Nothobranchius furzeri: one gene and its partners. The protein of the gene in region 1 purifies or fractionates together with the protein of each later gene. This does not show direct contact. Links are inferred from orthologs where the notes say so. Each region holds a gene or a part of one and is shown in the gene's direction. Other genes may lie near its edges.

What was found.
Region 2: the proteins of IQ calmodulin-binding motif-containing protein 1 (region 1) and exoc1 purify together in Homo sapiens (affinity purification with mass spectrometry; 3 studies listed by BioGRID and IntAct, counting the BioPlex papers as one, with this or other methods). This does not show direct contact. The link is inferred for Nothobranchius furzeri from reciprocal best matches to the Homo sapiens genes IQCB1 and EXOC1.
Region 3: the proteins of IQ calmodulin-binding motif-containing protein 1 (region 1) and cep290 purify together in Homo sapiens (co-immunoprecipitation; 8 studies listed by BioGRID and IntAct, counting the BioPlex papers as one, with this or other methods). This does not show direct contact. The link is inferred for Nothobranchius furzeri from reciprocal best matches to the Homo sapiens genes IQCB1 and CEP290.

The regions. Positions count from the first base shown.
Region 1 is NC_091743.1:82,551,948-82,558,883, reverse strand, and holds the end of IQ calmodulin-binding motif-containing protein 1, read left to right. Parts: intron 1-367; coding exon 368-467; intron 468-619; coding exon 620-792; intron 793-1,564; coding exon 1,565-1,674; intron 1,675-2,239; coding exon 2,240-2,358; intron 2,359-3,234; coding exon 3,235-3,301; intron 3,302-3,449; coding exon 3,450-3,525; intron 3,526-4,033; coding exon 4,034-4,197; intron 4,198-4,319; coding exon 4,320-4,457; intron 4,458-4,602; coding exon 4,603-4,759; intron 4,760-4,943; coding exon 4,944-5,200; 3' UTR 5,201-5,463; downstream 5,464-6,936. Other genes in the region: protein EFR3 homolog B, read left to right, coding at 6,308-6,578. UniProt on the Homo sapiens protein: Involved in ciliogenesis. The function in an early step in cilia formation depends on its association with CEP290/NPHP6.
Region 2 is NC_091748.1:40,498,560-40,506,042, forward strand, and holds the start of exoc1 (exocyst complex component 1), read left to right. Parts: upstream 1-2,863; 5' UTR 2,864-2,956; intron 2,957-3,697; 5' UTR 3,698-3,708; coding exon 3,709-3,832; intron 3,833-3,898; coding exon 3,899-4,029; intron 4,030-4,116; coding exon 4,117-4,276; intron 4,277-4,559; coding exon 4,560-4,577; intron 4,578-5,176; coding exon 5,177-5,364; intron 5,365-5,951; coding exon 5,952-6,179; intron 6,180-6,267; coding exon 6,268-6,400; intron 6,401-6,487; coding exon 6,488-6,597; intron 6,598-7,483.
Region 3 is NC_091744.1:50,573,581-50,580,516, forward strand, and holds part of cep290 (centrosomal protein of 290 kDa), read left to right. Parts: intron 1-5,085; coding exon 5,086-5,259; intron 5,260-5,350; coding exon 5,351-5,462; intron 5,463-5,947; coding exon 5,948-6,153; intron 6,154-6,424; coding exon 6,425-6,576; intron 6,577-6,874; coding exon 6,875-6,936. UniProt on the Homo sapiens protein: Involved in early and late steps in cilia formation. Its association with CCP110 is required for inhibition of primary cilia formation by CCP110.

The DNA.
Region 1 (6,936 bases):
AATTAGCTGCACGTTCTCCTGTCCTCTGTCCTCCGGGCCACACACACACACACACACACACACACACACACCACACACACACACACACACACACACACACACACACACACACACACACACACACACACACACACACACACACACACACACACACACACACACACACACACACACACACACACACACACGGGACTGTCTCAGCTGTTATTTTCATTAAGGAGTGTGCACGTACAGCATGTGCACCTCGTGCACGAGCCTACTATTGAAGCTGCTGTTATGCTTTTGGCCTGAGGGGGCAATCGCAAGCATAAAAATTCAAAAGTCCGTAAAGTCCCTTTAAACTAAGGTTTTCTCTTTCTCACATCAGTCTTTAGCTCCACCCAATATGAGCAGATCCAGCTGTGTGATGACATCACGGTGTCTTTGCTCTGCATTCAGATGTGGATTCAAACTTGCACAGTGAGCAGGTACACACACATGCATACACTCTCACACACACAATGTAAGTTTTTGCTTATCGAACCGACTCGATGACGAAACGTTTTCAGCTCACAGCAAAACATTTTGAACAGAGTTTTAAAATAAAGTAGAATCTGACCTGTTATTTGTTCGTCTGCAGCAAATTCCTGTCTGATCTGAGTGATGATGCCATCCTCCTGCTGCTCGAAGAGGCCGTCTGCCAACTAGCTCACAGCTCAGATGCTGCGGTGGGTGGAGCCTCCATCAGACTCATCCTTCTAATGGCCAGAGGGTTGGAGCTCCGCCTCCCGTCCCTCAAGCTGAACTTTAAAGGTCAGAGGTCAAACATGTAGACTTTCAGTGGGTGACAATGAGGCCCTATCCCAATACTCGCACTTCCAACCTTGCACCCTTCAATTTTGCGCTCCAGCCAGGGGCTCCGAGGTGTCCAGATCCCCAAGTATGGAAATTGGCCACGCCCCCTTTTGCACACTTCGCCCAAGTTGATGCGGATTTGGATGAAGGATATTACCCACATTCCATTGCTGCATGGGAATTTTTATGACAGCAGTAGCTCAGGAGGTTGAGTGGGTTGTCCAGTAATCGGAAGGTTGCAGGTTCGAACCCAGCTCTGGACAGAGAAATCTGCTGTTGTGTCCTTGGGCAAGACACTTAACCCTCCTTACCTGCTCGTGGTGGTCGGAGGGACCGTCGGTGCCTACTCTCGGCAGCCTCGCCTTTGTTGGTGCGCCCCAGGGCAGCTGTGGCTACATCGTAGCTCATCACCATCCGTGTGTGAATGGATGAATGATGCACTGTAGTGCAAAGTGCTTTGGAGTCCTCTGACTCTGAAAAGGCGCTATACAAGTGCGGCTCATTTATCATTTATAAGAAGGCGGAACGATGTTTGTTTCAAAGTTGTTAATAAAGATTTTTTTTAAGTAGCAGAAACAGTGACCAGCTTGCGGTGCGGTCGATGACTCAACTGTTTGCACACTTGTGTACTACACACTCGAAGCCTTACTGCGCACTTGCTGAAGACCGTAGGGCGCAGTGCGAGCAGTGAGATTGGGCCTGTGTGGTCACATGAGTTCTGTCTCTGTAGGTCTGGACAGACTACTGGAGAAAGATTGGAGGGGGCGGGGCTTTGACCAGGATGTTGATCAGCTGGTAGCAATCATCCAATCAGAAAAGCCTGTGACTAACCAGTTGGAGGTTTGTTGGCACTTTAATAATTCATTTATATAATAAAAATGTCTACATTCTTAGCAACTTTAATGATTCATTTGTAGTGTGAAGATTTTAAAGAAATATTGGGGTTTCATTTAGAAAATGTTTCAGTGTAAGCTTTTCTTATTGTGCCATTTTAAAAAGATTTTTGTGATTTCTATAGTTTGAGAGTCCTATTTATCTTTTAGAACACGTTCTTTTGTTTGCTGTATTAGAATAGAAAATAAAATAGAAAATCCCTTCATTGCCCTCAGTTCTCCAGTTGTAAAGGCTTTACAGCTGGAGAATATTACATTTTGTTCAAGATGTGGTTGAATACATAATTAGACATTTTTACAAAAATCATATTGAAAGAACAGAAACTCCTCTTCTATTTCTGGTGCATCAAAATAAAATACTTTGAACTTTTATAATAACGTTTTATATAATGAACTTTTGTTGACAGAATGAAACCACTGCAGCTGTAACATAGAACCGTTCTGTTAGAGTCACTAAAGGAAAAGGTGGAAGAGACAATCAGACTCAGGCAGCAAACACTTTCTGTCTAAAGGAGAGCACTGAGCGTGTGCGAGCCGCGAGTGTGATCCAGGCAACCTGGAGGTCATATCAGACCCGACGCAGAGTGAAGAACCTCAACAGAGCTGTGAGCATGCTGCAGAGGAGATACAGGTACAACTTCCTGTTTGGAGAAGATACAGGTAACAACTTCCTGTTGTAGAGGATATACAGGTAACAACTTCCTAATTGGAGAAGATACAGGTAACAACTTCCTGTTGTAGAGGATATACAGGTAACAACTTCCTGTTTGGAGAAGATACAGGTAACAACTTCCGGTTTTAGATTATATACAGGTACGACTTCCTGTTTTAGAGGGGATACAGGTAACAACTTCCTGTTTAGAGGATGTACAGGTAACAACTTCCTGTTTAGAGGATGTACAGGTACGACTTCCTGTTTTAGAGGAGAAACAGGTAACAACTTCCTGTTTAGAGGAGATACAGTTAACGACTTCCTGTTTCAGAGGAGATACAGGTAACAACTTCCTGTTTTGGAGGAGATACAGAAACTGAAACACCAGAACCATCTGGAGCAGATCAGATTAATCAGACATGATTACACCAACTAGCAGGAATATAACCGGTAGTTCTTAATCATTAAAATCTGAATTCACCTGTGGTCCAGGTGTTTACTCCAGCTAGTGGTTATGTGGTGTTGTTTGGGTTTCTTTGTTTTTTGTTCATTTAGGCTTGTTATATCCAAGAAACCAAGTATTTTTTATTCAACAGTGTGTTGTAGAAGAAGCTGGAAGACTTGTCAGTTGAATAGTTTACTGGTGCAAATAAAATAACTTTTCCACACACTTTTCACCTGCCTGACTGGTGGGTTGATGCAGAGAGCACTTTGTTTGAAGTTTCTGGAAATAAATCCACTAAAGTGTGTGTGTGTGTGTGTGTGTGTGTGTGTGTGTGTGTGTGTGTGTGTGTGTGTGTGTGTGTGTGTGTGTGTGTGTGTGTGTGTGTGTGTGTGCGTGCATGTGTGTGTTAGGTCTCGAAAGAGGCATGAGCAGGAGCAGCAGGAGGCGCAGCGGCAGAAGGAGGAACTTAAGTATCAGGTAGAAGTTTTAGTTTTTAACACAGAAGTGTTATTCTTCCCTGATAAGAAGATGACTGTTGGAGATACTTTAAGTTTAAGTCAGATCCACCATGTAACAGCTGAGCATTTGTCTTGTGAGCCTCCTCACAGTCTGGTTGATGTTGTAGGTGTGTGTGAGGCGACAACAGGCCAGGAGGAGCTTCCACCAGAGACAGTTACAACTGCTGCAGCTGCTGCCTCCTGGTAAATAAACCTGGTCTGTTTCTCTCAACTACAGGAGGACCTCTCTAGGTTTTATTTACTGTTGTTGTTTGGTTTTCCCTGTGACACAAACTTTTTATATAACTGGATTTTGATGATCCTAGTAGTTAGAAACATGTTTAGTACTAAGAAATGTATCAGAGCCGTTTCCAGGACTGGTTCTGAGCAGCATAATTATGTTCTTTTTTTAACACAGGAAAGGATGTTTTACCTTTTGGCTGACAGTTTCGACCACACCTGCAGTCTTCTTCAGAGCTAGCCGCTGTGGCTAGCTCTGAAGAAGACTGCAGGTGTGGTTCCTAATAATGAAATCAGAAGAAACACACAGTAGGATTACACAAAATAGGGTTTGGATCTGGTGACTAAATTCATTCAAATTAAAGTTAAGTTTGTTTTACATGAGATTATTTAAAATGCAGATTATCCTATATCAGAAACACTCATATTTTAATCCCTCTGTAAACATGTGTGTGTGTGTGTGTGTTTTCAGAGCAGGTGCAGCCATACCTGGAAGAGTGTAAGCGTCGAGCCGCCATTGTGATCCAGAGCTTCTGGAGAGGCTTCAGGGAGAGGAGACGCTACAAGAACACACTGAGACACGCTCTGAGGCAGAAAGACATACAAGAGCAGGCTGCTAGGACGCTGCAGAGAGCTGTAATTACACACACACACACACACACACACACACACACACACACACACAAAGACAGGTCTTAATTCAGGAGCTCCTAGTGAAATCTGTTTGAGTCACTCCTCTCTCCTTTTTACCCCTTCAGGTGCGACGTTTTTTAGGAAAACGTGCACCAGCAAAGGTCCCATTCCTTGTCCCTCTCTGGATTGGTCAGGAAGGTTTGACAGACAGCCGGAGGGCGGAGCTACAGCAGCAGGTGGACAATTACATTTCTGTTCACCGGGTGAGAAGATGCTGATGCTTATAAACTAAAATCTGAGAGATATAATCAAACATTTAATTGTCATGTCCGGTGATTTTGACTCCGTGTATGTGTGTGTGTGTGTGTGTGTGTGTGTGTGTGTGTGTGTGTGTGTGTGTGTGTGTAGTCATCTCGTGTGTCTCCTGAGGAGTGTGTTTCCCTCCATCAGGAGGTGCAGCTGCTCCTGCAGGCGGAGCTGCAAAGAGGAGATTATTACAGAAGAGAGGAGCAGCGGGTGGCAGCTGTCCTGGCGTGTACGCACACACAGTTGGAGCTGCTCCGAGGTAACACGCCCATATCATCTTCTTCTGTTTTTATTTAGGTCGTGCTGACACTCAAACACGAAAACTCAACAATCAAACCTGTAGAGAACATTTCATCTGTGGGTGCAGCTCCATGGGCCCTCTAGTGGTGTGGAGGCTGCACATCTGGATCCAGCTGTTGATCAGTCTGTATTGCTCCTTGCAGATGCCCCGCCCCTTTCTGTTGTCACGGAGGTGCAGGCTAACTCCTTTCTGAGCCCGTCAGCTTCCATTGCCGCTCAAGCGCGCGACGCCCAGAACGCAGTGCTGCAGGCGAGCCGGCTGCCCTGGTGGAGGATGCTGGGAGAGCTGGATGCTGGTGTAGGGTCTTGCCACGCCCACCTGCAGGAGCTAGAGGCGGAGCTTGGAGGATTGTTTATAGTAGGTCCAGCAAAGGACAGTAAACTCTCTGAGGTGGATTGAGTCCAGCTTTAACCTGAAACCTGATCCGAAGGGACTGAAATCAAAACCAGAACTTTTTTTATAAAGCTCCACCTTTACCAACAGGGGCACTCACCAAATCTGTCTCAAGGGACCCAGATGGACCAGAACTGAAAAATCAGAGAGTGCCTCATTCATTTATAAGTATACAAACAAGGCACTGTACCTGTCAATCCACACTCAGGGTGAAATAACACAGTCCACAAGAATGGATCACATTCTGACAATAAAAGGTTTGTCAGAAACGGCTGTTTATTTATCAATGATCACATGAGAACCAGGATGTCTCAGATCCTCCTCCTGCAACAGGATTACAGGCCGGAGAGGTCTGAAGCGACACAACATCTTTCATAGGCTTCAGGTTAGAAAACACAAAGGAACAAACAGCTGTTATATAACTTCTCAGAAAATACCTAAAACCTTTTTATGGCGTAAAACGATGGGACTGGATGTAAAACCTAAGGATCTGTAATCTAGACCAGTTTAATAATCTGTGGTATGCTGTATAGACCCCCCCCCCCCCCCCCCCCCGTGATTTGTCCTAAGGAGACAAACTGATCCAGATGACCCTGTTGGATGATGCAGTTGAAGTGCTCTTCGTACATCAGCAGAGGGAGCTCCTGCACATAGCAGCAGCCTGATGATGATGAGGAGGAGGAGGAGCATCAGGAGGAGGTGCAGAGGTTTTTAAACTTTCATGTGAGTCAGGAACCAGCTGCTGCAGCCGGATGCTTGTGGAGCTTTATGTGGAGCAGCAGATCGATCACGCTGATTATTGATTGGAGCTCAGCTGATGTTACATAAACAGCTGTTGGAGGGAAGCAGCTGCAGCAGGTAGGAGCTTCGTGGACTTTCAACACTTTACAGAAGCTTTTCCCACCAGGATCGGAGCAGCTTCTTACAAGCAGGTTGTTCTTAGTTTGGTTTCATTAGAACAATAAAGTTATTTGAATTTTTAAAGAGAGAAACTAAGCAGAAGCTTCAGGTTTCAGGAGAGCATCACAGCAGCTGTGTGTCTCGCAGGTTAAGAAGAAGACAACAGGGAGGATTTCCCTTCCTCCTCCACCTGTTCCAAGACTCATCCCAGTGATGCCGGGGACTCTCCCCAGATTTCCCAGCATGCCGCGGGGGGTGACCATGCCGGCCCTGGTCAGTTCTCTGCCCCGAAGCATCAACCCCCCCAGCCTTCCCCGAGGAATCACCATGCCCAGTCTGCCCACTCTCCCCAGCTTTCCCAGCATCCCCCGGGGCCTGACCATCCCCAGCTTGCCCAGGGTCATCGTCATGCCGACCGTACCTGAAGCTCCTCGACGGCTGCTGCAGGACTGCTGCTCCGTGTTCGACCACCAAACCTCAGGAGGTGACTCTCTCTCTTCTTCTGTGTTTTATTAGATGCTGTTGGTCCAGATAGTGCAGAGGAAACCTCCTAACGCAGTCTGGTTTCCTTATTAGTGTGAATAATTTCTGGTTAATCTCCACAATCTGAGACGTAACCAGCAGCTGGAGCTCAGGTGGATTTTAAATCAGCTTATCCGGATTTTATTTTTGACTTTTCTCTGATTTGAAGGAGAAATGCTGTAAACTTTCATCCGTGGATCTTTCAGACTTAAAAAATATTTTCATTAGAAAAAAATGTGTGAAAAATGAAAGGAAGATGTGAGAAATTAACTTAATTAGCATCTTATAAATTTTAATGTATTTCAATATAAAAAATAGTT
Region 2 (7,483 bases), on another chromosome or scaffold:
GTATGGACAGGTTTAAAAACCCAAAATGGGCTTCACTGAAGGACTGGAATGATCAGTTTAAAGACTGAAGGCAGAGAGGAAAATAATCTCAGCCTGACCCAAACAAAGTCATGTTATCTGAATATGACGCCCTGGTAGCCTTGAGCATAGGGATGGGTACCGAATTCTGTACTTTTCAAGGTACCGACCGAATTCCATAGTACCTACCGAGCACCGATTCACGTCATTTCAAACGGTGCCTCGTTTCGGTACCCGTCCATCATAACGAGAACTTGCCAAGACAGCTGCGCATGAGCAAGAGCGTTTTAACGTCGCTCGCTGTGAACCAGTTGTAAACAGAGCAGCATGGGTAGAAAGAACACACGCTAAAGCTTGGGTCCACTTCACTAAATGTGATGGGTAACTGGGTGATGATGAAACCAGCAACAATGATCTAAGTGAGACATCCTCATCTTAATCTGCTCCGGTAGGTAAATATAATTAGCTTGATATGTTAGCTTCCGTTTCGCTAATGGTGCGTTTGCTTTCTCCTCGAAACTCTGAATTCCCGACTAGAACAACATGAACGCGCTCTAAAGTTTGGCTTCAGGTTACTAAATGTGACGGGTGAAGACGAAACCAGCGACGATCTAAGTGTGAGGCATCATCGTTTTAATCTGCTTCAGCAGCTAAATAAACTGTTTAAGATATTGTTAGCTTGATATCTTAGCTTCCATTGCTACCATTGTTATCAGCTAATGGTGCGTTCGCTTTCTCCTCGGAAATTCTAACTTCCCAGTAGGAAAAATCAAATGAAAAAAGACGGCAAAAGGAATAAAGATACACAGTAAATTTAGTTCACAGTAAAGATGTTTGCTTCAGTTTAATTATCAGCTTATAAAACTACAAGGACGATGTTAAAATACAAACAGTTGTATGTTATTTATTGTGATATTTATCAAATATTGTTATATATTGAGAAAAAATATATTTAATTATAAAAGAGAATTAAAATAATAAACAGTCAAAAGTATCGAAAATTGGTACCGTTAAGTACCGGTATCGATTCGTAGGTACCGGTAATTAGTACCGGATCGATTCAAATGTCAAAGGTACCCATCCCTACTTGAGCGGCAAGCAACAAACCCCCACGAAGGAATGCAGACAGATGCTGTAAAAACCCGACACCCACCCCCACCCCCCACCCCGCCTTTGGATTGGTGGACTTCAACCTGGCAAGGTCATCAATCTGCTGGAGACAATGTGCTCTTCGCTTCTCCCAAGATCTCCCTCCCACCTGTGACTGTACAGCAGATGACCGCCGTGGATGGCTGCTTCCGCTGGGGGAATCAGGATCCCAGCCCCCCCCCCCCCCGCCTTCCTATTGGAGTCTCCACCTGATCCAACTCTCATGTAACCCTCTTATCTCTATTAAGGTAGCCCAACTCGGGTTGCGAATGACCACAGTTACCAATTCTTGTCATGTGTCTTGCCCATGTATGTCTGATCTCTGAATTGTGTGTACTGAAACTCTAATTTCCCTCTGGGATTAATAAAGTATTGATTGATTGATTGATTGATTGATTGATTGATTGATTGATTGATTGAGATTCTTATCTGGGGCCATGAGAATATCATTTGTAACTTTCACTAATACAGTTTCAGTGCTGTGATACTCTCTAAAACCAGACTGAAATTCCTCAAACAGAGCATTGGTGTTTAAATGCTCACATACTTGGATGGCCACTATTTTCTCCAGGACTTTGGATAAAAATGGAAGGTTAGATATTGGTCTATAATTCATTGGGTCATCTGGATCCAGAGAAGGCTTCTTAAGTGAAGGTTAGATTACAGCAACCTTAAAATCCTGTGGTACATACCCATTTACTAAGGATAGACTGATTATACCTAGAAAGGGGGCAGTAACCAAAGGAATTGCATTTTTAAATAATTTGGTTGGGATTGGATCTAAATTGCAAGTTGAAGTTAGATGAAGCTAATATTTTTGATAACTCTGAAAGCTCAACTGGATCAAAACGGTTCAAACACAGATGAGGTTCTACAGTTACCTCTGATGCTGCCTCACTTACTGAGGAAGAAGAAATCACATTAGGGAGGATGCTAAAGATTTTGTTTCTAATGGAATTAATTTTACTTGTGAAAAATTCCATAAAGTTGTTACTGCTGAGTGAATCGATGGTTCAGAGTTATGATTTTGTGTAAGTTTGGCAACTGTACTGAAAATAAATTTTGGATTATTCTTATTCTCCTCAATTAGCGCTGAAAAATAAGCAGTTCTAGCTTGTCGAAGCTTATTTTTATAAAGCACAAGACTATTTTTCCAGGATAAGTAGGACTCCTCCTGGTGTGTAGAGCACCGTGTTCTCTCCAATTTTCTAGAGTTTTGTTTTAAAGTTCGTAAATGAAAATCAAACCAGGGAGCCAACCGCCTATCCCTAATTACCTTCTTTTTTAAAGGGGCAACATCATCTAACACACGCACGCACGCACGTACGCACGCACACACACACACACACACACACACATACACGCATTCAGGCGCATAATGTGAAAGTATAAAAGTAAACATGGTAATAATATATCTAAAATATCAAGTAAATTATTGAGTCAAATTAATCTAAATGTAAACAGAGGCCCATGTTAAGGTGTCAGAAGTAACTTGTAACTGTAAAGGTGTAGTAGTGCACAGAAGCACTGACCTGGCTCCTAGCAGCAATAGATTCAGTTCAGGGTTGGCTCTTACACGTTGTTCAGTTACTGCTTTAAATAAGTTAAATTCGTTCCAAGAATTTCGCACATTACTGAAAATGACCAATAACTTTTAAAAAAAACTATCATTAAAATGGGTTTAGTATTTCCAGTGGGCGTGGCCTTTGGGTTGTCACATGACAGCTGTGGCCGAGAAGCAGGAAGTGAGAGGGCGGTGCTTTGAAGGGCTGCAGCGGATGAAAATAAGGTAAATGCTACGTAAAATCTATACTATTTTCAATATTTATAGAATATTTTGATTACGATATCTAAACACGCAATGTAGAGTCATTTGTGAATGTAGCTACAATGCACGTTGGGCAGTTTTTGCTGATCGTCGATAGCTTAGCAATGCTAGCCTAGGACTAATATCTAACCGGAGAGAGGACAACGTTTTTATAGGAACTAGTGCTGATTCTGTACCACATACACGACCTAAGTTGCTTCAGAACCCTTTAATTCGGGGTTTGGTAGCTTGTTATTGCTTAATAGAAACATTTACTACGATAGTCTCTCAGATTCAATCTCCGGCTTTATGTATACGTTAAACAGTAAACAGTGCAGTCTGCAAAAGCACCAGTCAGTAACCTTTTCCTGTGCTGCTAAAAACTGTCAAATTGGGTTAAATAAACGACTAAAGAATTTTTCGATAGCAAAGGAAAAAAATCAAGACTTGATATAACTTTTAGGGATTTTTTGCTGAATCTCTAAATGTTTTTCCGTGAAACGTCTGATATTTTTGAAGTTTGGTTCTTGTGTTCTCTGAAGGGCCTCGCTCTCTGTAATGTTGGTGGTGTTTGAATCACTCATCCGCCCCCCCCCCCCTCCCCACTTCATTCTGAGTTCCTACTCTGAATATGTGTTTTATTGTTAACTGGAAATCACGAACCGAACACTAGATACGTCTTGCGTTGATCAGATTCATGACTTGTTCTGTTCTGTATGACAGTACGATCCACCATGACAGCCATAAAGCACGCTCTCCAGAGGGACATCTTCACACCCAACGACGAGCGTCTTCTCGGCATAGTTAATGTCTGCAAGGCGGGAAAGAAAAAGAAAAACTGCTTCTTGTGTGCTACAGGTATGTGTGTGAAAGCTGCGGAAGCTCCTGTAAAGAACATTCATGATAAAAGGACTTTTTTTCCAGTTACCACAGAGAGGCCAGTCCAGGTTAAAGTGGTTAAGGTGAAGAAATCTGACAAGGGGGACTTTTATAAGAGACAGCAGACCTGGGAGCTCCGAGACCTGACAGTAGTAGATGCCAAAGATGCAAGCAAGGTTAGAGGTCACACGGTCTGTCATGGCGTCCCCTATTGGTTCAGCACTCTGCAGTTAGGACTGATGCATGCTCTGTTTACGTTGTAGGAAAACCCAGAGTTTGATCTTCATTTTGAGAAGGTTTACCGATGGTTGGCTAGCAGCACAGCTGAAAAAAACTCCTTCATTTCCTGTATCTGGAAGCTGAACCAGCGTTATCTAAGGAAGAAGTTGGAGTTTGTCAACGTCAACTCTCAGCTCCTTGAAGGTGGGTAAATGCTAAAACTTCAGCCAGCTCAGAGTCTGCATGCTCCTTACTATAACTTAATTGTAATTCTTTAAAGATGCATCTTTTCCCCTCAAGCTCTACAACTCTACAACCTTTTGCATGTGTAATGTGTATACCTCCATAATTTGGTAGATTTTATTTACAGGTAGCATGTTTTTAAAACTGAAAGCCTCTTCTTTGTATGTTGGTTTGTGTCAGTAGTTTTCTTTGTTAAGTTCTTTTTTTATTCTCACTCTTTTTCTCTTGATCTTTCTGTGGCCAGAGCTTCCTAAAGCTGAAGGTTGGTAGGAATAAACTTTCCGCTTGATCCCTCCTCCTACCTCTTCATTATACTGTTCATGACCCCAAGCCACCATTTTCATCAAAGATTCTAGTTTTCCTGCATTTCCTGTGATTTAAATCATGTAATTAAACATGGAGGACATAATAATACTAATGATAATTATAACATCAACTGTAACACAAACTTAGGTTGTTCAGCTATTCTATCTATTCCACATTAAGTCATGACTTAATTTTTTTGTGGCATTAGTGCACTGTACACATAGTTTATGCTCACCTCTTCTACATGTTATGTATTAAAATAGTCATAGTCTAATAATAAACACTAAATAAAATTTAGCTCATGTATGTGCTTTTTGACCTCATGCCACTGCCTGAGATTGGTTTTCATTTTGTGTTCATATCCCTGCTACATTATCATCAGATGTCGGTAATAAATGAGATTTTACGGCCTTTAGTAGCATTTCTTTAAACTCTAAATACCTTTGATTCTATTTATTTAAATCAAAGAAATAATAAAAAATAATCTGACAACAATGGCAGTGCTTCTGGTATTATCATCTGTATTCCTAATTTCACTTATTTTCATGGACTTAGAGTCGGTGCCGAGCGGTGAGAGCCAGAGTGTTGCCGGAGGCGACGAGGATGCCCTGGATGACTACCAAGAGCTCAGCACTCGTGAGGAGCAGGACATTGAGAGCATGATGGAGACGTGCGAGTACGCGATCTCTAACGCCGAAGCTTTTGCAGAGAAGCTCTTCAAGGAGCTGCAAGTTTTAGACGGGGTGAGCGAAGCAGTCACTGACGCTCTCTTTTTTTTTTTTTTTGCTAGTTTCTCAGAAAACCCAAATCATTAACGTATTAACTGCCAGCAGTTTCCGGATCAGAAAAGCCTCTCGCTGCCAGTGGTTTTGAGCGTTTTAACGGTTTTTTGAAGAGTCACAGAACGTTGTGCTCAATGATGAAATCAACTCCAAGATCACCAAAACAAAGGGTAGACTCACTTCCCACATCAGGACGGATCCGCGTGTTTCTAGAGTTATCTGTTCTTTCATAATCCGTCGTCATGGCAGATGCTTCTCCGGTTCCCACCTCACCTTTATCACAGCGGCGGCCCAAAACGGTCTCCTAATACATGGATTTTCTGATCAGGTGGTGTGTGACATGAGCGGCTGAAGATCAGCTTTGGAGCCGGGATGTTTGTTCTCACGGTGTGGGGGCTTGTTCCCACACCTGCCCAGTAATAAAATGCAATTGATGACTTTAGTTGTTGATGGCAGCGAGCGGTTGGATTTAAAATGATGACTTTAGTCGTCAATAGCAGTTAATGAGTTAACCAAAAAGGCATCTCTGGATCTGTGTCTTCCTAAAGGCCAACATCCAGTCCATCATGGCATCAGAGAAGCAGGTCAATATCCTGATGCAGCTGCTGGATGAAGCTCTGACAGAGGTGGACACCATTGAGGGAAAGCTGAGCAGCTACGAGGAGATGCTCCAGAGCGTCAAGGATCAGATGGATCAGATCTCCCAGAGCAACCGTCTCATCCAGATCAGCAACACCAACAATAACAAACTGCTGGATGAGATCCAGTTCTTAGTGGTGAGGCGCTATAACACACAGTTGTGTGTGTGTGACACTGAGTCACAGTGTGTTGTTAGATGACTCTGGTTCCTCTCTCCTCCTGTAGAACTACATGGATTTGTCAAAGGGGCACATCAGGGCTCTGCAGGAAGGAGACCTCACCTCCCCTAAAGGGATAGAGGCCTGCATCAATGCTTCTGAAGCTCTGCTGCAGTGCATGAGCGTGGCTCTGCGGCCAGGTATTGAGTAACTTCTGCAGAAATAAATTGACTTTGTAGTTTTTTTTTAGTGTTCAATCAAATGAAAGTGTACGTTACTTCCTTCAGGTCATGAAAAGCTGATGGCTGTGAGGCAGCAGCAGCTTCTGTTTGCTGAGCTGAGAGACACGTTTGCTCGCCGCCTCACCAATCACCTTAACAATGTGTTTGTTCACCAGGTGAGTGCTCAGTCTTGTCCTTTACAACCGTGTTCCTACTCAGGCTGGACAATTTCTTTCATGTGGATTTTCTGTACCTTAACTTAAAAGCAACAACATGTTAAATGCTGCTGTAGCATGACTGGCTGTGGCTGGTCACATGACCTTATGTCATTTTTATCAGCTTTGTTACACAGAAACAACAAAGCTACACAAAATATCAGATATCTGGTTTGACGTGGCTTTTTTTCTGTTTATATACATCAGAGAATAAGCACTATGAAGCTACGGGGACAGAAATCAGACTCAGCTTTTGATCAGCTTGAACAATGAAGACCTATGGTCTCCTGGCTCTTTTTTCTCCTTGTGAGCTTCCTTTTTAGCTGACGCTCTCTTCCTGGGCTTCCTGTGTTATTTTCCTAGCAGCTGTGTCCCTCCCGCTCACGACTTTCCTTGTTGCTCACTTTGAATCATCCCACTCTGCTCTCTGTCTCTGTGTCAGTTCAACCACTTCAGTCATTTCAAAATGACCATCCCTCAGTATTATAGGTCCTCCTGTCTGTCACTTCCAGTGAGTACCCTCACAGCAACCCCCCACCTGGCCTCTTCTCGCTGTTTGATCTCTCACTGCTCACTCAATGAGGCTTCTTCCTCCAGCGTTTTCTAATGCATGAGGTAGATTTCTAACTTCTTAACATCCCTTGTCTGATGAGGAGCTGATGAGGCTGTGTCCATCCTTCGTCTCCTTCACCAGCTGACTCAGCTGAGGGCTTTTCATGTTTGCGTTCTCACATGGCTCACATCACAGAAGGCTGTGCATGTCTTGTACTAAATGAAGTCAAGAACACACGTGCTAGTCCTGTGAGGGAGTAAGGGGAAGCATCAAATCCTCAGAGGTATAAAATCT
Region 3 (6,936 bases), on another chromosome or scaffold:
GGTGGTGCAGAGGGTGTGGCATCAGTTCGGAGAGGCCCAGGTGGATCTGTTCACCCCAAGGAGCAGCACGCATTGCCCCTTGTGGTTCTCCCTGGCAGAGGCCGACGCCCCTCTGGGGATGCATGCCCTCGCCAATACCTGGCCGTTGGTTCGCCTGTACGCTTTCCCACCTTTCCCGTTGATCTTACCAACCCTCCATCGGGTGAGGGACTCGTCACACGAGGTCCTTCTGGTGGCGCCAGACTGGCCCATGAGGGTCTGGTTTCCTTTGCTTCTCAGTCTGCTGAACGGGGAGCCGTGGCGGTTGCCGGCTAGACGGGACCTCCTGTCTCAGATGGAGGGGAGGATTTGGCATCCGTCCCCAGATCATCTTCGGCTCACGGTGTGGCCATTGAAGGGAGCAGGCAGCCCCCAGTCGGCTTAGAGCCCTCCATCCAGCAGGTGCTGGATAGCGCCAGGGTTCCGTCTACAAGGGCCATGTACGCTCGCTGTTGGCAGCGGTTCTCTACCTGGTGTTCCGGCAGGGACGTGGACCCTGGTTCTTGTTCCCTGCATGAGGTTCTGTGATACCTCCGGCACCTGTTTGACAAGGGCCGGGCCGCCTTAACCCTTTAGGTACACCTGGCGGCTATTTCGGCCAACCACCTCTTGGTGGATGGCAGGAGCATTGGGGCTCACTGTTTGGTGACCCAGTTTCTGCGGGGCGTGAGAAGGTTGCGTCCTGCCTTGTGCAGGCCGGCACCTGCTTGGGACCTTCCCCTGGTCCTGCAGGCCCTGTGTGGGCTGCCCTTTGAGCCGATGACTACCTCCCCGTTGGCAGTGGTGTCTGTGAAAACCGCCTTTCTCTTGGAAGTGACGTCGGCTAAACGGGTCAGTGAGCTGCACTCACTGGACATCAGCCCCGCCTGCCTGCGGTGAAGGCAGATGGGTCGGGGGAGATGCTGTGGCCCAACGTTGCCTTTCTTCCCAAAGTTCTGCCCTCTGGCTACGTGAATGCCGCAATCGAGCTGGGGGCGTATTTCCCTCCCCCATTTCATTCGGAGGAACAACGGCGGACGAATTTGCTGTGCCCGGTCCGGGCACTGCAGCTCTATATTGTGGCCACAAACACTGTCCGGCAGTCGAACCAGCTGTTAGTCACGGAGGAGTGAACAGGGGTCGGGCCCTTTCGAAGCAGAGGCTGTCGCATTGGGTCGTGGATGCCATTGCAATGGCTTATGTGGCAGTGGGTGCAGTGGCTCCCCCTGGGATCGTGTGCCATTCCACCAGGAGTGTTGCTACATCCTGGGCGGCGATGAGAGGTGTGCCACTGTCGTACGTCTGTGCTGCGGCGTCCTGGGCAACTCCGTGCACGTTTGCACGCTTCTACCGCCTCAACGTTGGCCACGGGTCCACACTCGCTTCAGCTGTGCTGCCTCTGGCGGCTACCTCCTGAGTGAAGGTGAGTTTTATGTTCCTCGTGACACTGCTGGCATGAGTCATCCACTCTGTTTACTGCCACTGGGAGTCAGGAGGGAACGAAACAGAACGGAAGTTACGGTGTAACTATGGTTCTGTGAGTTCCTGGATGGCTGCCAGTCACAGGGGTCACTCGGAACTTCTCGGGCGAGAAGATCCCGGGAGACCTGAACGTAGCTATCGGCGCGTAATTTATAGACTCGCGACCAGGTGCGCTACGTGTCACGTGCGTGACTTGGTTTACATTAGTGCTCGACCTGCGCAGAGCGCGAGGAGATACGTCCACTCTGTTTACTGCTACTGGCAGTCATCCAGGAACTCACAGAACCATAGTTACACCGTAACTTCCGTTCATGGTTGACGCATCCGCAAGGTCCGCACGGCAAAATTGCGTCATTTTAACAACCACGCCCCTCCACCGCACCTCCGCAAGGCCCAAAGTTTCCGCACTGCACACCTAGGAAATTTTCTACCCACGCGGACGGTCGGACGTAGAAAAACATGGTGGACCGACAAGAACTAGTATGGCAGAGGTTCATAAATACAGACATTTGTATGATTCAGCTCTCAAAGATCACCGTGATCAACATGTTTTTAATAATTCTTGGAGAGAAATAGCTCGCACTGTCGGAAAAGACGAGGACGCTGTTAAAAATGCTGAAATGCCATGTTGTAAACAACAGTAATTTTTACTTCTACTATGGTGAAGTGTTGGATGCATGCGTGTAGAGCTCCATGCCGCCCCCTACAGTTTGGGAGAATATTGGCTTACCGCAGAGACAAGCCGCATGAACCATAAACGCTGCGAGTTGTGAAGCACGTTCCATCCGCATCACCAAGCGGAAAGTGAATGCGTCAAGCATAAACCAAGCTTAAAGCTGTCGATCATGAGACTCAAACCACTGAGCCACACTACAGTTGGACCTGGGCAGGTCCACACTAAACCTGATAGGCACCATGAAGACGGTTGTCTCCATATTTAAATCCAATAAAGCAGAAACTCTCATTTCTACCAATACGTCAGTTAATTATCTGTTTTAGAAGGATGGCCACCGCTGCTCTAGTGTCGTTTTATGGTTTTAATGATTAGTCCTCTAGCTGAGTTTCCACGGGTCCAAATACAGGTTGAACCTCTTTCAGAAAAGTTAAAAGACTTTATTTTGTTCAATAACATGTATTTGCACAAACATAACAGGAAATGTTTTTATATATTTTATATAATGCCAACAAGACAGAAAAGATTATAGGAGAGATGCAAAAACTGTGAGATTAACCGGTTAGCCGTAAAAGGAGCATCCACAGAAATAAAACACGTCATTCCCATGTAAGAGTAGTTTGTGACAAATCACTTTGTTCTAAACTTCACCAGATAACAGTCAACCATAAAACAAATTGAAGGCATTCTCAGCTATCTGTAGATAAGTTTAGTGTTTTAACACCAGGAATAAATGACTGTGTGATAATCTGGAGGTCAGGGGGATCTCAGAGCCTTAAAGACCAGGCGGGTCATGAATCCTGGGTGAGAAAGAGAGGTGCTGCTGTATATGTTCAGGATAACCAAAACAACTCGGTCACTCAACACCGTCTGCTGCTGCTGAAACTTTCTCATACAAGGAGGAAGCCATTCATCAAACCTGCCGCTGACTTCTTTGGTCACAGGTTCATCCCAGATGCGCAGAAAGACAATCAGACGTATGTCACAGGAGTCCAAACTTTAGCTGTTTAGGATGAATTTCACATACCATCAACGAGGAAGAAGACATTTATCAGTGAAAGGTGCTGAATTCATCATCCGTCGTAGTACGGGAGGGTGTGTGTAAATGCTCTACAGACGCAGAGAACGACACAGGAATGTTGGGCAGATGTGCTATCATCAGACGCCCAAGTCCGTCTGCTCTCTGCAGGAGCTCTGCACACTTTCAAGATTGTGCTCTAATGAACACACAGAGATAAACCTCTCTATCAAAAACTGCTAATGTCTGTCTGCTTTTTATCAAGACTGGAGAAAACATTCATCCCTGCAGCAGCAAAATCCACAGACACAGCCGATAAGAGTACAAAATACTAGACACGAAGGTTGGTTCATCAGGTCCAGCAGTTCGTTACACAAATAAACATTTTAACCAGCCAAACTTTTCACAACTTGTGTTGGATCTTTAACTTTCCAACAAACACAGCGTCCGCCCACTCTGCCCAGGAACAGTTTTAGAACATTCCAGGCAGAAGTGCGTATCACTTTCCACCTCTCGTGTCTAAGTTCCCGTCAACTCTCGTCTCATTTAATGTTGCAGAAATCTCTCATGATCTGTTACAGCTCAGGGCTTGTGTTGTGTAAGAGTCAACTAACGTGCCAGTTTGAGATCAGGACCTAATCCACTCAGTTTAGTCTTGTTTATCTTTTCCATTGACACTAAGGTGTAGCTGCGGAGGCCATTCAAAAGTTAATTCGTTGTAGATGTAGATATGATGACGTTTATCAAATCTGGATCCGTTCTTTTGTCCCAATGGTAAATGCCATAAAACAGAAGTCTTCTCTTTATTTCTTTTGATTTGTTAAGTGCAATAAAGCACCAGTAGAAGTAAAAGAAACAACGCAGGGAGAGTAAATGGACACTACAGTCAACACGACCTTTGTCAGTTTTAACTCGGCTGTAACCTAAAGATGAGATGCAGATAAGAAGAGATTGTTCATGGGTGAAGGTTTGAGTTTGTTTTCCTCATCTCGCTGAGCATTCTTTCAGTCTCGATCAAAAGTCTTAAGACCACTTGAAAATGGCCAAAACTCATATTTTGCATAGTTGGATCCTAACAAGGTGGAGCTTCAACTTGTAACGAGAAGAAATGGGAGTGAGACAGAAGATGTTCTGAGCATTATGTTTTGTAAACAAGGCTTAAACTGAAACAGGCTGTTGTAATGCTTATTGGGGATGAATGGCAAGGGACATTTACAAAAATGGACACCAGTTCCTGACAGTAGAGGCCCTCCGTGCAGTCGTCTTCACCACTTGGAGAAATGTTTCCCACTCCCCGTATGGAAACCACTGCATCAAGCGTGTGCAAAAAATTTGTGAAGTGATTGACGACGACGGTGGAGCTGCTGTTTGGAGCTTTGATGTTAGTGTTTTGGAGGAGTTACGGGTGTTTTTGGGAGCTGTGGTCTTAAACTTTTGATCAACTATAAAACAACGACCAGTTTCAGTTTAAGTGTTGTTTTTAATAAATCGCTGCTCAGAAAATGTTTTGCCTCACTCGTATTTCTTCCTGTCTCAACTCTACGTGGGACCTTGTTAAGATCCAACCTTGCAAAATGTGATTTTTGGCCGATTTTCAAGTAGTCTAATACTTTTGATGGGGCCTGTATTTGTACCAGTCCTTGTTTTTCTTGTCCATCTCCAGGTCTTTTTTATCAGCTTCATTGGTTTTGACTATTTTTTAGCTGAATAAGTCAAAGTTACCAGGACAGATAGTTGAAATACCAACCACGTATTTAAACATGTAACATCCCTTCTATCCTCATCTGTTTACTGGAAATTAGTCCCATCACAAATATGAGTACAGTGTCCTCAGAAAGACACATTTCAACCCTCATCAGGTCTACTTTATCCTCATGTCTTGTGTTTTCTACAGGAAATGGCTGCTTACAAGATGTCTGCTCTGCAGAAGGCCTTGGATGACAGCGTCCCTGCGTCAGAGCTGGAGAAGGCTAATAAGCAGTACACCGAGCTAACAGTCAAATACAGAGACATGCTCCAGAGAGACAGCTGTCTCATACAGAGAACCACCAACCTCGAACATTTACAGGTATTAATATAATACCCAAGTATCTCCGTTACTCACTCAATATGTCTGTTAGCTTATGTTTGGTAGCTGACGGACTTGCTCCATCTTTTAGGGTGAAAACGACTCCCTTCGAGAACAAATCTCCTCCATGATTAAAGAACTGGAGATCACGAAGGAGAAACTGAACACGTTAGAGCAAGCGTGGGAGAGCGCTGGCCCGGCTGGTAAACAAGCAGCGTGTGGTGTTTTGTTTACCTTGATTATAGAAACGTGTCATGAAACGAGTACAATCGAGACATTCAGCAATCAGGATTGCTCAGAGAAAGTTGTTTACAGGGATAATTTGATGCCATCACTGTTATAATCAGCAGATTTTCAGGGCTTTAGTGATGCTACGAGACACCGCCTGGGGCTCAGGCTTCAAGTGGGACAGAGGTTTGTTTACATCTGTACGGTGTCAGACCCCGCTCCTGAGCATGTTGCAGTAGATGAGTATCACAGCCTTAGCTTCATGGTATTGTGGCTAGCATTGTTCTGACTGGGATGATGTTTCATTGTGCTCCGACCAAATGGTGCCATCAGCGCTACTCTAGAGCTCTCACATCTGAGTCAGAGTAGTTCCATTTAGACCTCTAGGTCTGACATGGACACAGCCACAGACCTGGTTTGGTGGATTCCACCCTGAACACGATGTTTTATTTTTGGTTAGGTGTGGAACCTGGCATGGCCAAGTCAGACAAGGCGTCCATCAACAACGAGATGCTATCTGCAGCAAGACAAATCACTACCTCAGAGATGAAGGAGCTGAATGAGAGACAGAGAGCCGAGCATGCCCAGAAAATGTACGAGCACACGAGGAACTCCCTCAGACAGGTGGAGGAGCGCAACGCCGAGCTGGAGTCCAAGTTTGCAGAAGTAAGACGCCAAAGAAATCACGGAGGATTTGTTTTCTTCTGTCAGGCTCTAAAGGCGTGGGCATCAGCATCACAGTGAGCTTTGGTCCATCTGAAAACATACAGACAGTGCTATCTTACATTTCCAGGTGCAGAACGGGGTTTCACCTCACACACAGCCTGTGTGGAAAGACCAGTTCGCTTTATAATTGCTGACCCTTGGCTGCTTGATCTCCTCTCATCTATTAATATTTTCTTTTACCAAATAGTTTTGTGGTTTTGTTTTCCTTCAGCTCACAAAGATGAATGCGGAGGCCCAGAAGACCGAGCGGGAGCTAAGAGATGAGTTGGCAGACAGCGTCAGCAAAGCTGTGAGCGATGCAGATCGAGCCAGGATCTCAGAGCTGGAGAAGGCGGAGGCCGAGCTCCGCTTCGAAGTCTCCAAGTACGTTTCACGCTGTCCCGATACTCCGCTATCTTCAAACACAACCCTGGTGATGGATTATAGAGACAAGAATGTTTTCACAGGAATGATGACTGAAATTCAACCGTTTTTCATGGGCAGGGAGTAACATCAATATTTTAGAAACATGAATGATCTGTTCCTGTTGTTGTGGATTTTACAAATAAAAACTTTAACGATCGTCTTTAGAGAAATGTATAGTGTAAGTGTGTGTGTGTGTGTGTGTGTGTGTGTGTGTGTGTGTGTGTGTGTGTGTGTGTGTGTGTGTTTATTTTAACAGGCTGCAGGAGGTGTCTGATGTGGCGATGGCTCAGGTGTCTGCTCTGCAGGCCCGACAGAAGT